Linked DNA regions of Macaca fascicularis. The protein of the gene in region 4 purifies or fractionates together with the protein of the main gene of each other region. This does not show direct contact. Links are inferred from orthologs where the notes say so. Each region holds a gene or a part of one and is shown on either strand. Other genes may lie near its edges.

Region 1 (3,670 bases), on a different chromosome or scaffold from region 4:
GCAGGAGAATGGCGTAAACCCGGGAGGCGGAGCTTGCAGTGAGCTGAGATCTGGCCACTGCACTCCAGCCTGGGTGACAGAGCGAGACTCCGTCTCAAAAAAAAAAAAAAAAAAAATGGTTGAATTCAGGGCATAAATTTCTGAGTGACCCTTGTTTGAGTTTTGGTGTGTATTTTCAACAATGTTATGTTACTTCATAGTTGTGTATTCTGCTTTCTTAAGTGAAAGTAAGCTGTTATCCTGTTTTCTTTTAATTTATGTCAATCATTCAGTAAGATTTCATTAATGCATTAAAATCTGTATGTGAGTTTCTTCAGTATATAAATTTAATGATTCTTGGGATTAGTCTCAGTCGCTTCAGTATTTAAAAGTATAATTAATATTTTTTTACCCCATGTTGGATCAAAATTACTTGACAGTGTCACACAGTCCTACAATGCAAATACAGCTTAAACTACAAATGCCATAGATAGATAGACAGATAGATATTCCTTTTTATTCATTTTAAGATTACATCAAAATAGTACACAAGGTATAACTAAATGTATCCATGTGGTCAAATACACTAAAAGGAGTTTTGCAGGAGGAATCAGAATCTGTGTAAATGAAGGAAATAGAGTTTGTAGAGCACTGCCAAGTTATGGGTATTAAAAACAGTGATTATGGAATTTAATTCCTATATAAAATATTTAAAACCCAATTTATATAATAAAATCAAATCTATTCATTTACCTTTTTTTAAAAAAAAAGCTTTTTTATACTGCTGGATGGAATTTTTGGCCCAGTAGTACTAAATGTGCATTATTTAGCAAAAGCAAATACTGGCAGTAAAAGCAATTATAAATAATCTTCTACTAAGACAATCTCAGAGGGTAGCAGTACCAGTAAGCTCTGGAAAATTAGATTTATTTTTAATTATGAATAAATTAGGATCTTTAAAATTTTTTGTTTAGTTCATATAATGTGATGATTCAGTTTTCCTTTTAAAGATACTTCACTGGGCTGATAGAATTGGAAAGAACTCTGCTGGTTTATCTAACCCCTCCTGTTAATGAAGGAGGACACAGAGGTTCAGAGAAGAGTAAGATTCCTAAAAGTAGTTGATAGGCAGAGTGTTGTGACCTTTGAAGCAGTTTGTACACATGGGACAGTTTTAATATTGCAGATGTGTCGTGTGGTTTTTCTTTGGGAGCAATTAGAGTAATTTTTAACTGAAAATTATTGGAAACATTTTTTTATTTCAAGAAGCTAATCTATTGTGCTAAGGTTTTCCTTTACATCCCCTTTATTAGCCTGGGCATTTTGATAAACAAATAATATTATCTAGCACTTTTCAATTTCACAAACATTTTTATATTTTACATTCTCACGTGACTCTCAGAACAACCTTGTCAGATAAGGAAATACTACTCTTATTCCACAGATGAGGAGACTGAGGCTAAAGGAAATTTAATTGTTCAGATCATGTAAGCACAGTAGGAAGCAGAGCCACATTTGAACCCAAACCTTTCTACTCCAGAACCCTTGTCCCATCTACTGTGTCTAGCTTTACATGGTTGGAAGAGTTGCTTTTTAAAAGTCAGGTTGTTGGGCAAGGGAGGGGAAAAGAAAAAAAAATAAATAAATGGATAAATAAATAAATAAATAAGAGATTATTGTGATGGCACATCACTATTTAAAGGAATTCTGTGGTCAACCCTTTTGTTACAGGAAAAATGTCTTAATAGCTACCACGTGTTGAATGCCGGCTGTGGGCCAGGCAGTGTGGTAGGTGCTAACCCTCAGAATCTGCGAAGCATTTTAGAAGGGAAGTTGTGCTGCTTATCTAGTAAGGAACTCACGTAGGATTATTTGCCTTCAAAGCCCCAACTTCCAGCTGCACCCCAAATTCAGGTCTCCCTAAAGGAGAACACACCCATATGCTTATAGCGAAATCATTGTTTAATGTGCTACTTATGAATTGCATACATGGGTGTTGATATTTATACATCTAGATTTCCATTTATTGATGCAGTAATTGCAAAAATACTACTATTGGCTCAGAAGCTCATGAAATTTAAAAAAGAAAGCCAGGAAGGTAAATCAATAGCTGTTTATACAAGTATAATTGCTGGATGGCAGCGTTGGTTTTTTTTTTTTTCTTTGTAATTAACTATGTACGCTTTTCACAAAATTTAAATAATCCATCTGACCCACTCACCTTAAATGAAAATAAGAAGCATGTTCAAGCTTATGGCATTACACTCATACTCTTCTGAAACTTCATCTTTCATAATTATTAGATTCAGTATATTTTTCAATTTATATGTGATTGTATTCTGTTTTTGTTTTGTGTTGACAGAGTCTTACTCTGTCGCCCAGGCTGGAGGTCAGTGACACTATACAGCTCACTGAAGCCTTGACCTCCCAGGATCAGGCGATTCTCCCATTTCACCCTCTCAGGTAGCTAGGACTACAGACGCACAGCACCATGCCCAGCTAATTTTTTCATATTTTATTTGTAGAGATAGGGTTTCACCATGTTGCCCAGGCTGGTCTCGAACTCCTGGGCTCAAGAAATCTGCCCACCTTTGCCTCCCAAAATGCTGGTATTACAGGCGTGAGCCACTGCACCCAGCCTGCTGGTTGGTTTTTAATAATATTTTGCTCTGAGTTTTTTTTTTTTTTTTTTAGAAGAATCTTTGATACTATCATATTACCAAAACTGAACAAGTCTTCTTTTCAGGCCCCTGTTTTTATATGAATTTGGTTTGAAGAGTTTTTTCATCAAACTGATTTTTTATTTGTCATGGGTGTCCAGGAAGATGTCAGCTGTGTGAGCAACGGGTTGGTAGAGCACTCAGGTGGAGATGGAGAGGAGACCTGGGCAGCTCCTGTGGCTGAGTCACAGATTCTCCACTGGTCCCCATGTCTCCTTTGAGGAGGAGAAATAGGGCCTCCAGCCCTCCCAAGTTCTGAGGTAGAAAAATTCAAGGGATTTGCACAGTGGGAATGTATTTGAGTTTTGAAGTTCCACCTCGTTCCTGGACTAGCCCCTCATGCTTCACATGGCGATTCTATTGTCCTTTGTTTCAGCTAGAAAATAAACTTTGTTCAGTCTCGCCCCAAATGAGAAGTTCTAGGCAGTCAGGTATTTGGCAAGAGTGTAAGGGTCTCACCCAGGTTTAAAGTATAAAGTTGAATTTCTAAGCAAGCCTGAAGAGTATGTGCAATACACATCTTCTGATTTTATGTTGTTGCATGTCGTGAGGGGTTTGGTGTCTTCAAGTAAAGGTTTTAAAGGCAACCTGGACTAGACTCTAAAACTTGACCCTCTGATGCTAATCAAAAATACGCAATCATCAAATGGCATTCTTACTCTATTTTTAAACTATTACATATCCCATTTTGACAACTTATTCTTACCTTTTTTACATAGGTCGAACTGGAAGGTACACCCTTATAGAGAAATGGAGAGATACCGAAAGACACTTAGCACCTCATGAAAATCCTATCATATCCTTAAACAAATGGGGGCAGTATGCTAGTGATGTGCAGCTCATTCTACGGCGAACCGGGCCGTCGCTCAGTGAGCGACCCACTTCAGACAGTGTGGCTCGAATTCCTGAAAGAACTTTATACAGGCAGAGTCTGCCCCCCTTAGCTAAACTGAGGCCTCAGATCGACAAAT
Region 2 (2,675 bases), on a different chromosome or scaffold from region 4:
CTGCACTCCAGCCTGGGCAACAGAGCAAGACTCTGTCTCAAAAAAAAAAAAAAAAAAACTGGTTTAAAATCATGTTTTAAGGCCAGACACAGTAGCTCTCACCTGTACTCCTAGCACATTGAGAGGCCGAGGCAAGAGGATCTCCTGAGGCCAGGAGTTCAAAACCAGCCTGGGCAACACAGCAAGACCCTATTTTAAAAAAAGGAAAAATACATATATATTTAATGATGTTTAAGAATATGTAAGATCTGGCTAGGTGCGGTGGCTCACGCCTGTAATTCCAGCACTTCGGGAGGCCGAGGTGGGCGGATCACGAGGTCAGGAGATCGAGACCATCCTGGCTAACACGGTGAAACCCTGTCTGTACTAAAAATACAAAAAAAATTAGCCAGGCCTGGTAACACACACCTGTAGTTCCAGCTACTCGGGAGGGTGAGGCAGGAGAATTGCTTGAACCCAGGAGGCAGAGGTTGCTGTGAGCCAAGGTCACGCCACTGCAGTCAGCCTGGGCGACAGAGCGAGACCATCTCAAAGAAAAAAAAAAAGAATACGTAAGATCTATCATAATTTCATTTGCCATATTTAATGTTTAATAGTGATTGAGCTCTATCAAATTTAACTTCAACATTGGTTTATTTTGTGATGTGTATTTGAGATGGCCACCTAGTGGTTTTTTCTGGTATGGCATTTTACTACTGTACTAGATTATGATCTGATTAGCAAATAAGCTTATTAGCTAGTTTGTTTATATACCAAATATATTTTGAGTTATCCTTTCTGTACAGATTCTGCCGCAAGTGAATAGATATTTTTACAGCATTTCTATAATTATTTTGTTTTATTTTTAAACAGAAGAAGCAGACTACAGTGCCTTTGGTACAGACACGCTAATAAAGAAGAAGAATGTTTTAACCAACGTATTGCGTCCTGACAACCATAGAAAAAAGCCACATATAGTCATTAGTATGCCCCAAGACTTTAGACCTGTGTCTTCTATTATAGACGTGGATATTCTTCCAGAAACACATCGTAGGGTACGTCTTTACAAATATGGCACTGAGAAACCCCTAGGATTCTACATCCGGGATGGCTCCAGTGTCAGGGTAACACCACATGGCTTGGAAAAGGTTCCAGGGATCTTTATATCCAGGCTTGTCCCAGGAGGTCTGGCTCAAAGTACAGGACTATTAGCTGTTAATGATGAAGTTTTAGAAGTTAATGGCATAGAAGTTTCAGGGAAGAGCCTTGATCAAGTAACAGACATGATGATTGCAAATAGCCGTAACCTCATCATAACAGTGAGACCGGCAAACCAGAGGAATAATGTTGTGAGGAACAGTCGGACTTCTGGCAGTTCTGGCCAGTCTACCGATAATAGCCTTCTTGGCTCCCCACAGCACATTGAACCAAGCTGTGAGCCAGAGGATGAAGACAGCGATGAAGATGACATTATCATTGAAGACAATGGAGTGCCACAGCAGATTCCAAAAGCTGTTCCTAATACCGAGAGCCTGGAGTCATTAACACAGATAGAGCTAAGCTTTGAGTCTGGACAGAATGGCTTTATTCCCTCTAATGAAGTGAGCTTAGCACCCATAGCAAGTGGCTCAAACACGGAATTTGAAACACATGCTCCAGATCAAAAACTCTTAGAAGAAGATGGAACAATCATAACATTATGAAACCATTGTTTGAATGTTTTCAGAGTGAGGATGCCATGAGAACTTGTACATTTGGCTAGTTTAAAAGCATATATACCTCTGACCAGTGACGTGGAATAGGCATGAGACGAGTAACGTTGCAAGCTTACAATATTATTAAAGTAGTAGTCTGATAATTGTTAATATAAACTTTGGTGGATCAGAGGTGAATTTAAGTCCAAAACAAAGGGGCCTTTGCTGATGAAGTTACGTGCTTTTACTTTTTTGTCTGTGGAGAATCAGATGTTAAAGCACATTCTTGGAACTATGCGAGAAGACTAGATCATTTCTGTTGGAAGTGGTTGCATATTTAACCTGCTGTGCAGAGCCCAGTTAATTTTTCCTTTAACTGTATTTTTAAAATTCTAATGTGAAGTCTGATTCTCTCTTTTGGTACACTGGGGACCTCAGCTCTTAAAGGTCTTATGTTCCCAATATTTTATTTTATTTTTTATTTTTTATTTTTTTAGTGACTGGATCTCACTCTGTTGCCCAAGCTGGAGTGCAGTGGCATGATCACAGCTCACTGCAGCCTCAACCTCCTGGGCTCAAGCAATCCTCCCACTTCAGCCTCCTGAGTAGCTGGGACCACAGGCACGTACCATGACACCTGGCTACTTTTTGTATTTTTTGTAGAGACAGAGTTTTGCCATGTTGCCCAAGCTGGTCTTGAACTCCTGGGCTCAAGCAGTCCTGCCTCGGCTTCCCAAAGTGCTAGGATTACAGCCACCATGCCAAGCCTATTTTGATTTTTGTTTTTTTAATGTTCCTCTCTAATAAATTGTAACAAATGATGTTCTCAAGTGCATTTCCAGTTTCTAAGAATCAAACCACGTGGCTGTTTTTAGGAGTTGCTTCCCATGTTATAAAGCTCAGGAAGCTCTCTTTTTTTTTTTTTTTTGTCTCTGTCGCCCAGGCTGGAGTGCAGTGGTGCAATCTCAGCTCCCAGATTCAAGCAGTTCTTCTGCCTCAGCC
Region 3 (3,670 bases), on a different chromosome or scaffold from region 4:
AAAAAAAAAAAATTCAAGACAATCAACGTTGACTAGTCTGAAGAAGTTAGATTAGAGGTGCTGCATATTTATTTTTCTTTGACCATGAACATCTATTGACTTTTTTTTTTTTGTTTTTTTTTTTTTTTGAGGCTTCAAGACGAAATGAAAATGAGGAAAAATGTGGTTGTTCAAAGAGGGACTATGAGTTAGGGGGAAAAAATCAGAGAATCTGAGCATGCTTACACAGAGGGAAGCAAGCTAGAAAAAAATAAATCTAAGAAGGTCCAATAACAAGATAACTGACAAAATGAAATATTGGAGAAAACTACAGAAACAGGTCTAGGAAAATAGGAGGGACGCTCCTTGTAAAGGAGAGCCTTCCAAGAGTAGGGAATAAGAAAATGTTGAAAAGAATTAGAAAGCAATTCTGAGATGCAAGGTGGTCTGGTGACAGCTGGAAAGGAGGCAAGGTCACGCCAGAGAGGTTATCAGTCCTTGCATCAAAATAAGACAAGGTTAATCCTTTAACAGTGATGGAAAAAGGAGTAGAACTGAAGGCTTCTGAAATGAAGAGACTGTTTGGAGCAGGTGCTGGGAGAAATGTGGTAAGAAATAAGATAGAAGTAAAATGACTGCCAAACAATAAGGGCCTCCTTGAGATTAGAGAGAATGAATCTGTAACAACAGGTAAATAATCAAAATATCCCCCAATTATTTTAAGGTATATTTTTAAAAGATGCAGTATAAGTACAAAAAAATATATCAGCTCACTGCTGGCTGGATTTAATAACTCAATGTAATTCCTTAAAAAAAGCAATTTGGCAATACATATCAAGAGCTTTAAAATGTTAATACCCTCTGACCTAATTCCCTTTCTAAGAATCTATCTTAAGGCAATACTCAGGAACTTAGACAGACAAAGACAGTCCTTGTCAAATGGGAAACAGTGCAGCAGGACAGAGAGATTTGGGTTTGAATCCTGACTCTACCACCTGATAGCTGTGTAACTTTGCTTAACCTCTCTGAGCCTCAGTTTCCTCATCTGTAAAATGAAGATGACAATTTAACTAGTTTACAAAGTTGTTGTGAAAATGAGATAATGCACGATAAAGCAAAGGAGAAAATGACAGTTACTATTAAAACTTATAATAGTACAGTGGATTCAAATACCAGTAACTGAATGGTTATATAAATTATAGTATAGGCCGGGCGCAGTGGCTCACGCCTGTAATCCCAGCACTTTAAGAGGCCAAGGTGGGTGGATCACCTGAGGTCAGGAGTTCAGGATCAGCCTGGCCAACATGGCAAACGCCGTCCTTACTAAAAATATAAAAATTAGCTGGGTGTCGTGGCATGAGCCTGTAGTCCCAGCTACTCAGGGTGGCTGAGGCAGGAGAATCACTTGAACCTGGGAGGCAGAGGTTGCAGTGAGCCAAGATTGCACCACTGCACTCCAGCCTGGGAGACAGAGCGAGACTCTGTCTCAAAAATAAAATAAAATGAAATAAAATAAAAAATAAAAAAATTAATAGTATAATCTGATCATGAAACATTGCATAGTCACTAAAAATGGGATTTCCAAAAAACTTAAAAAAAAATTTCAGTGTACAGAATTACTTACTCGTCATCTGGAGTGAGCTGGACAGGTTCATTGGTAAACTGAGAATCAAAGTTGTCCAAACCAAATTCCCCAGAAATATTTGGTTTAAAGGGAGGTACCACCTGTTTTTGCTCCATCTGAAAAGACATATTGGATGACAGCTCAAGTCTGTATTATTAGAAAAATTGCACCTCTACAGTTCTCCTCTGCACTCATTGTTTCCCTTATTAAAGTGAGTCCTGAAGCACGGTACAATGATATTAGCAATGATGAACATAATTTACAAATATGAGCTGGGCATGGTGGCTCATGCCTATAATCCCAACTGCTTGGTAGGTTGAGATGGGAGGACCACTTGAGGCCAGGAGTTCAAGACCAGCCCGGACAATATAGCAAGACCCCATCTCTATTAAAAAATTAAAAATTGGCTGGGCACAGCAGTTCATGCCTGTAATCCCATCACTTTGGGAGGCCAAGGTGCGTAAATCACCTGAGGTCAGGGATTCAAGACCAGTCTGGCCAACATAGCAAAACCCTGTCTCTACTAAAAATACAGAAATTAGCCAGGCGTGGTGGCGTGCACCTATAATCCCAGCTACTCTGGAGGCTGAGACAGGAGAATTGCTTGAACCTAGGTGGCGAAGGTTGCAGTGAGCCGAGATTGTGCCACAACACTCCAGCCTGGGAGACAGAGCAAGATTCCACCTCAAAAAAAACAAACCAAAAAAAAAAATTGAAAATTAGCTGGGTACCATGGCTTATGCCTATAGTCCCAGCTACTTGAGAGGTTAACACAGGAGGATCTCTTGAGTCTAGGAGTTCAATCAAGGCTGTCGTGAGCTACAGTACAGCCTGGGCGATGGAGTGAGACTGTTTCTCTTAAAAAAACAAACAAACAAACAAACAAACAAAAACAAGTATAAACATTGATATGGGCTTCAATAACATTATAACCTGCTTTATTACATTAATATTCAATTTTTTGGCTGGGCACGGTGGCTCACCCCTGGAATCCCAACACTTTGGGAGGCTGAGGCAGGTGGATCACTTGAGGTCTGGAGTTCAAGACCAGCCTGGCCAACATGATGAAACGTTGTCTCCACTAAAAATATAAAAATTAGCTGGGCATGGTGGCATGTGCCTGTAATCCCAGCTACTTAGGAGGCTGAGGCAGAATTGCGTGAACCCAGGAGGCGGAGGTTGCAGTGAGCAGAGATCACACCATCGCGCTCCAACCTGGGCAATAGAATGTGACTCCATCTCAGAAAAAACAATACATTTTTAAAAAAAGGATTTTTTTTGTTTAAAAAGTTTTCTAAAAAGCAGTTTAGAAAGTGGTTTTAAGTTTTTAAAGCTGTGATATGTTAGCTAAGACAATAAAATTTGGCCCAAGATAGGCCAGGTGCGGTGGCTCACACCTGTAATCCCAGCACTTTGGGAGGCCAAGGTGGGTGGATCACCTGATGTCAGGAGTTCGAGACCAGCCTGGCCGACATCGTGAAACCCCCCCATCTCTACTAAAAATACAAAAATTAGCCGGGTGTGGTGGTGCGTGCCTGTAATTCCAGCTACTTGGGAGGCGGAGACAGGAGAACTGCTTGAACCCGGGAGATAGAGGTTGCAGTGAGCCGAGATCGTGCCACTGCATGCCAGCCTGGGTGACAGAGCAAGACTCTGTCCTAAAAAAAAAAAAAAAAAAAGATTTGGCTGAAGATAATAATGAAACCTAATAGAGAAAGTAATCAAAATTTACATACCATATCCCAATCAACATTTCGGAAGAACGGGTGTCCCTGAATATCAGCAAATCCTGTTTGAGGATGACAACCCAATCGTTCCTTAGGGTCCTATGGTGAAAGAAATGTTTCAAGAATTGGGTGAATGTCGTGCTTTAAAATAAATCATCTTTGTGATCTGTATTTTGTGCTCTCACATGATAGTCTTATTTCTGAAGTTGGAATGGTCTACCTTTTATTTCTAGAAAGTACAACTCCAGAACAAATTGAATTATCTGAAGCTTGTGATAGGTAAGATTTCTTTGTGGCACTTTCTCCACCTATCATGTAATTAAAACAGAGAATCATCACC
Region 4 (3,670 bases):
TTTTCATTCACAATCAAAAATTTTACTGCAGTAGTAGCTGCTATCTTCTTCTCATAGACATATTTTAAAGTCTTATTCTCTGCACTTTTACATTTTAATTTCTACAGAGCAAAATAAACCTGAGACATATAAGAAATACAATTTTAAACGTGTTAAAAGGTAAGTAGCTTTTAAAAATCTATCAATTCTTTCACAAAATAATGAGATAAGACTTAGGGTGCTTTGGGTTAGTAGGTTGACTTTTAAAATAAATTCCATTTCAACCCTTGTGTGTTGCTACTAAGAAAAGAAATTCCACAAAACAAAAACAAGATAGGTTATACCTTTCTTAAGCTGGATATTAAGCCTCTTGCCTATTTTTTTGGTGTTATAACCACTGCTTACAGTCGCACTAAATACATTCTGAGGTGCCGAGGCTGGAGCGGATGGTGGTTTTCCCGAGGGGTGTGCGCTATGAGGTAGTCGTGAGTGAGAGTCTATCTGCTCAGGCGGGTGGTTCAGTCGGGGTGCTCTCTGCACCGTGTGAAGCCCTGCACTGTTCACACTCCTGTTGTCAATATACTGGCTGTCAGGGCTAAAACGGCTTGAATAGTAATTGTTCTTCTCACTTTGAGATAGTTGTTCATACTGTTCTTTATTTGCTGCAGGAACCACATGGAACCAAATGATGGGTGTACGCATGGCTTGGCGAAACATATGTTGTGCTCTGGGTTTGAGAAAGAATAGAAAATTAGCAAATTAAGACTGGCAGACTAGAAGATATTATGAGCTTAATTAAGTATACTAATTAAGCAATAAGAACTGACAGGCTGTTGAAATTGAAAAGCAAAATTCTAATAACCCATTTATCAATCAAGTTTGTAGCTCTGATCTACGAATAGCTGTTTCTTCAAATATAAATTTCTCTTTCTCTCAATAAAAATAAAAAAATTATCTACAACTACAGAAAAAATTCTGTTCTCTCAATTGTAAATCATTAAACATGTTTTAAGTACAATAGAGGTATTATAATTTCAATAATAGAAACCAAATGGAACCTTCTCTTTACAACATTGTCTAATACAACTTGTAGACATTACAAAATATTTCCATTTAAGTTTTCAAAGAAAGAGCTTTATAATTATATATAGAATCTTGGATTGGGTTAGATGTGTATTTAAAATTTTTAAAATACACACACGCACACTTAGAAGGCTATAGAAAGTAACTATTAATTATCTATTAAGTTGATATATGCAAAAATCTCAAGAACAGCAATCCAGGCTCAATAATTCAAAATGCTGACAGCTGTGGGTCACAGTGCAACCATATGACCAGCCTGGGAAGCAGCTCTTTCTCATGCTGGTTCCCTGGTCAGGACCCCAAGTTCTTAAGAGTTCTGTTTGCTCCTGCCTTGTTTTATAAGAACTGGCCAACTTTTATGTTTTTCATTGACTAAGGGCCTGAATCAAGATAAAGTATATCTGAATACAACCCAATATTGAGGTGCAAACGAGCTTTATCTGCCTGTTTGTATCTAGAGAAATTGTGTGCAGCAAAGGTGGATGGGTGAATTAAAGTATGATAAAAATGGGCACACTGTCAATTTTCCAAAAGGGGAGGAACCAGCAAAACTGTAAAGCTGAAACGGGGGCTATGCTACTTAAGAAGAGCTATATCCATCAGAGGACATTTTGAAATATAGTCTAATGGTATTAATTACTTTGAGTATGATTAAATTTTTAAAAGCTAATGGCAGAAAATATTCCTGTCTAGTATACAGACTGAGATCACAGATATGTTGTTTGAAGCATTTCAACTGACTGCACTCTGTCATGCCTAATGCAAGTAAGAAGAGAAATGCAGCGAGCACACACTTACTGTTCAAATCTTCTATTTCGAAGGTCGCCATCATTAATCCTGACAATGCAATCATTCTCATGAAAAAGATTTTCATGTTCAGCTTTACCACCTTTCTCCAATCGTTTTACTAATAACCCCAGGGTTCTGGAACATTAAGAATGCAAATGATTACACATGTAATATCTCCACCATGCACACTGCCCTACCACTTTAATGCTGATATTATATTTACAAAGACTTCCTTACAAAGAAGCATGTCAAAATCACTATTCATACATTTTTAAATAACAGACAAAAATCACAACAGTTTAAATGATATGTAAAAATGCATCCCTTCCATAAATGCGAAAAATCATTTTCTGGCTGGTCAGTATTATGTTTCGAGAACAAGCTATAACACTCTCTCTGTTTACAAATGCCCCAAACAGAGCTCGCCTAATGGTTGAGTGGGTATTGCAGTGTGGAGCATGGATAAGCATGTATTTTTGAATGACTTGGGCAATTTTCTGTTTTAAGCCAGCTGGTATGCTAGCTTAAAAAACGACTGCAACCCCCATCTTTCTGTGAAAATAAAGGTAATGAGGAAAAGCTAACCTCATTGCACTGCAGGTTTGAGAATGATAATAGGAAAGATTTCAGAAATAAAAGAGTTTCTGTGCTTTGCATTTGAATTTGATAGTGCTTAGTATTGTGAATTTCAAAACCTGTTAGGTCTCCTAAAAGTAAGTCATTTATTGTCAATATTCCCATTTGGAAAAACAAATGACCAAACAGAAAAACAGCAGTGAGAGGTTCAAATAATGCCAATCGCCATTCATCTCTTTCATATATGTACTCACTCAGGTTGAAAGAAAAGTGTGAATGACCTTTGAGAGACTCCCTACTTGCTCTAGAACACTAACTTCATAACTCACAGGACATTCAATACAGACTGGGACAAATAGGAAATACTTCTTTAAATCACAGTATAAGCAACAGGGGTCTTAACCTAGCTCGGATTGTTGTTATTTTTTTACTCTTACTTTTTTTTGAGATGGAGTTTCATTCTTGTCATCCAGGCTGTAGTGCAATGGCATGGTCTTGGCTCACTGCAACCTCCACCTCCTGGGTTCAAGTGATTCTCCTGCCTCAGCCTCCCAAGTAGCTGGGATCATAGGCATGCGCCACCACGTCCGGCTAATTTTTTTGTATTTTTAGTAGAGCCGGGGTTTCACCATGTTGGCCAGGCTGGTCTCAAACTCCTGACCTCAGGTAATCCACCCACCTCAGCCTCCCAAAGTGCTGGGATTACAGGCATGAGGCACCGCACCCGGCCTGACTGCTGTTAATTACTTGGTGGCTGGCATAAATTTTGTATCATGATATTAAAATTTTTATATGAACTTATTTTTTGTACTTCCAAAATTTGTATTTTCCTTCATAATCCTAATAAAGAGACAAAAATGCCTAGACAGGCACTAAAATTGAGAATTCTGCATAAATTAATATTGAAGACATCCTAATTTTCAAATAACATCTATATGATTTCCAAGAGAATTACAACTTGCAGTCATCTGTGTATGTTTTCCAGTAGAAATATACCAAAATAGATAGCTGCTGCTTCTATACTTTTCCAGTAATTGTTGTATCTGTTCCATGGGCATTTATCATATTCTTCTGTTATATACATACCTTATCTCTACTAGTGCATTGTAAGCTCCTAGCAGAGAACATAAGATTCAGCAGTTCAAGCACTGAACTAGTAGTAAGGTCTTGATAAATGACAACTGAATGAAGGCATGATTGAGTTTAGCTGAGGCAAACAAGTCTATTTCTAACAAGCTTTTTG

What was found.
Region 1: the proteins of PARD3 (region 4) and RASSF8 purify together in Homo sapiens (affinity purification with mass spectrometry; 4 studies listed by BioGRID and IntAct, counting the BioPlex papers as one, with this or other methods). This does not show direct contact. The link is inferred for Macaca fascicularis from reciprocal best matches to the Homo sapiens genes PARD3 and RASSF8.
Region 2: the proteins of PARD3 (region 4) and PARD6B purify together in Homo sapiens (affinity purification with mass spectrometry; 5 studies listed by BioGRID and IntAct, counting the BioPlex papers as one, with this or other methods). This does not show direct contact. The link is inferred for Macaca fascicularis from reciprocal best matches to the Homo sapiens genes PARD3 and PARD6B.
Region 3: the proteins of PARD3 (region 4) and PRKCI purify together in Homo sapiens (affinity purification with western blotting; 5 studies listed by BioGRID and IntAct, with this or other methods). This does not show direct contact. The link is inferred for Macaca fascicularis from reciprocal best matches to the Homo sapiens genes PARD3 and PRKCI.

What each region holds. Positions count from the first base shown.
Region 1 is NC_088385.1:28,797,094-28,800,763, forward strand, and holds part of RASSF8 (ras association domain-containing protein 8), read left to right. Parts: intron 1-3,418; coding exon 3,419-3,670.
Region 2 is NC_088384.1:106,853,097-106,855,771, forward strand, and holds part of PARD6B (partitioning defective 6 homolog beta), read left to right. Parts: intron 1-852; coding exon 853-1,682; 3' UTR 1,683-2,675. UniProt on the Homo sapiens protein: Adapter protein involved in asymmetrical cell division and cell polarization processes. Probably involved in formation of epithelial tight junctions.
Region 3 is NC_088376.1:81,805,460-81,809,129, reverse strand, and holds part of PRKCI (protein kinase C iota type), read right to left. Parts: intron 3,430-3,670; coding exon 3,340-3,429; intron 1,720-3,339; coding exon 1,604-1,719; intron 1-1,603.
Region 4 is NC_088383.1:35,134,128-35,137,797, forward strand, and holds part of PARD3 (partitioning defective 3 homolog), read right to left. Parts: intron 1,987-3,670; coding exon 1,861-1,986; intron 707-1,860; coding exon 324-706; intron 1-323. UniProt on the Homo sapiens protein: Adapter protein involved in asymmetrical cell division and cell polarization processes. Seems to play a central role in the formation of epithelial tight junctions. Targets the phosphatase PTEN to cell junctions.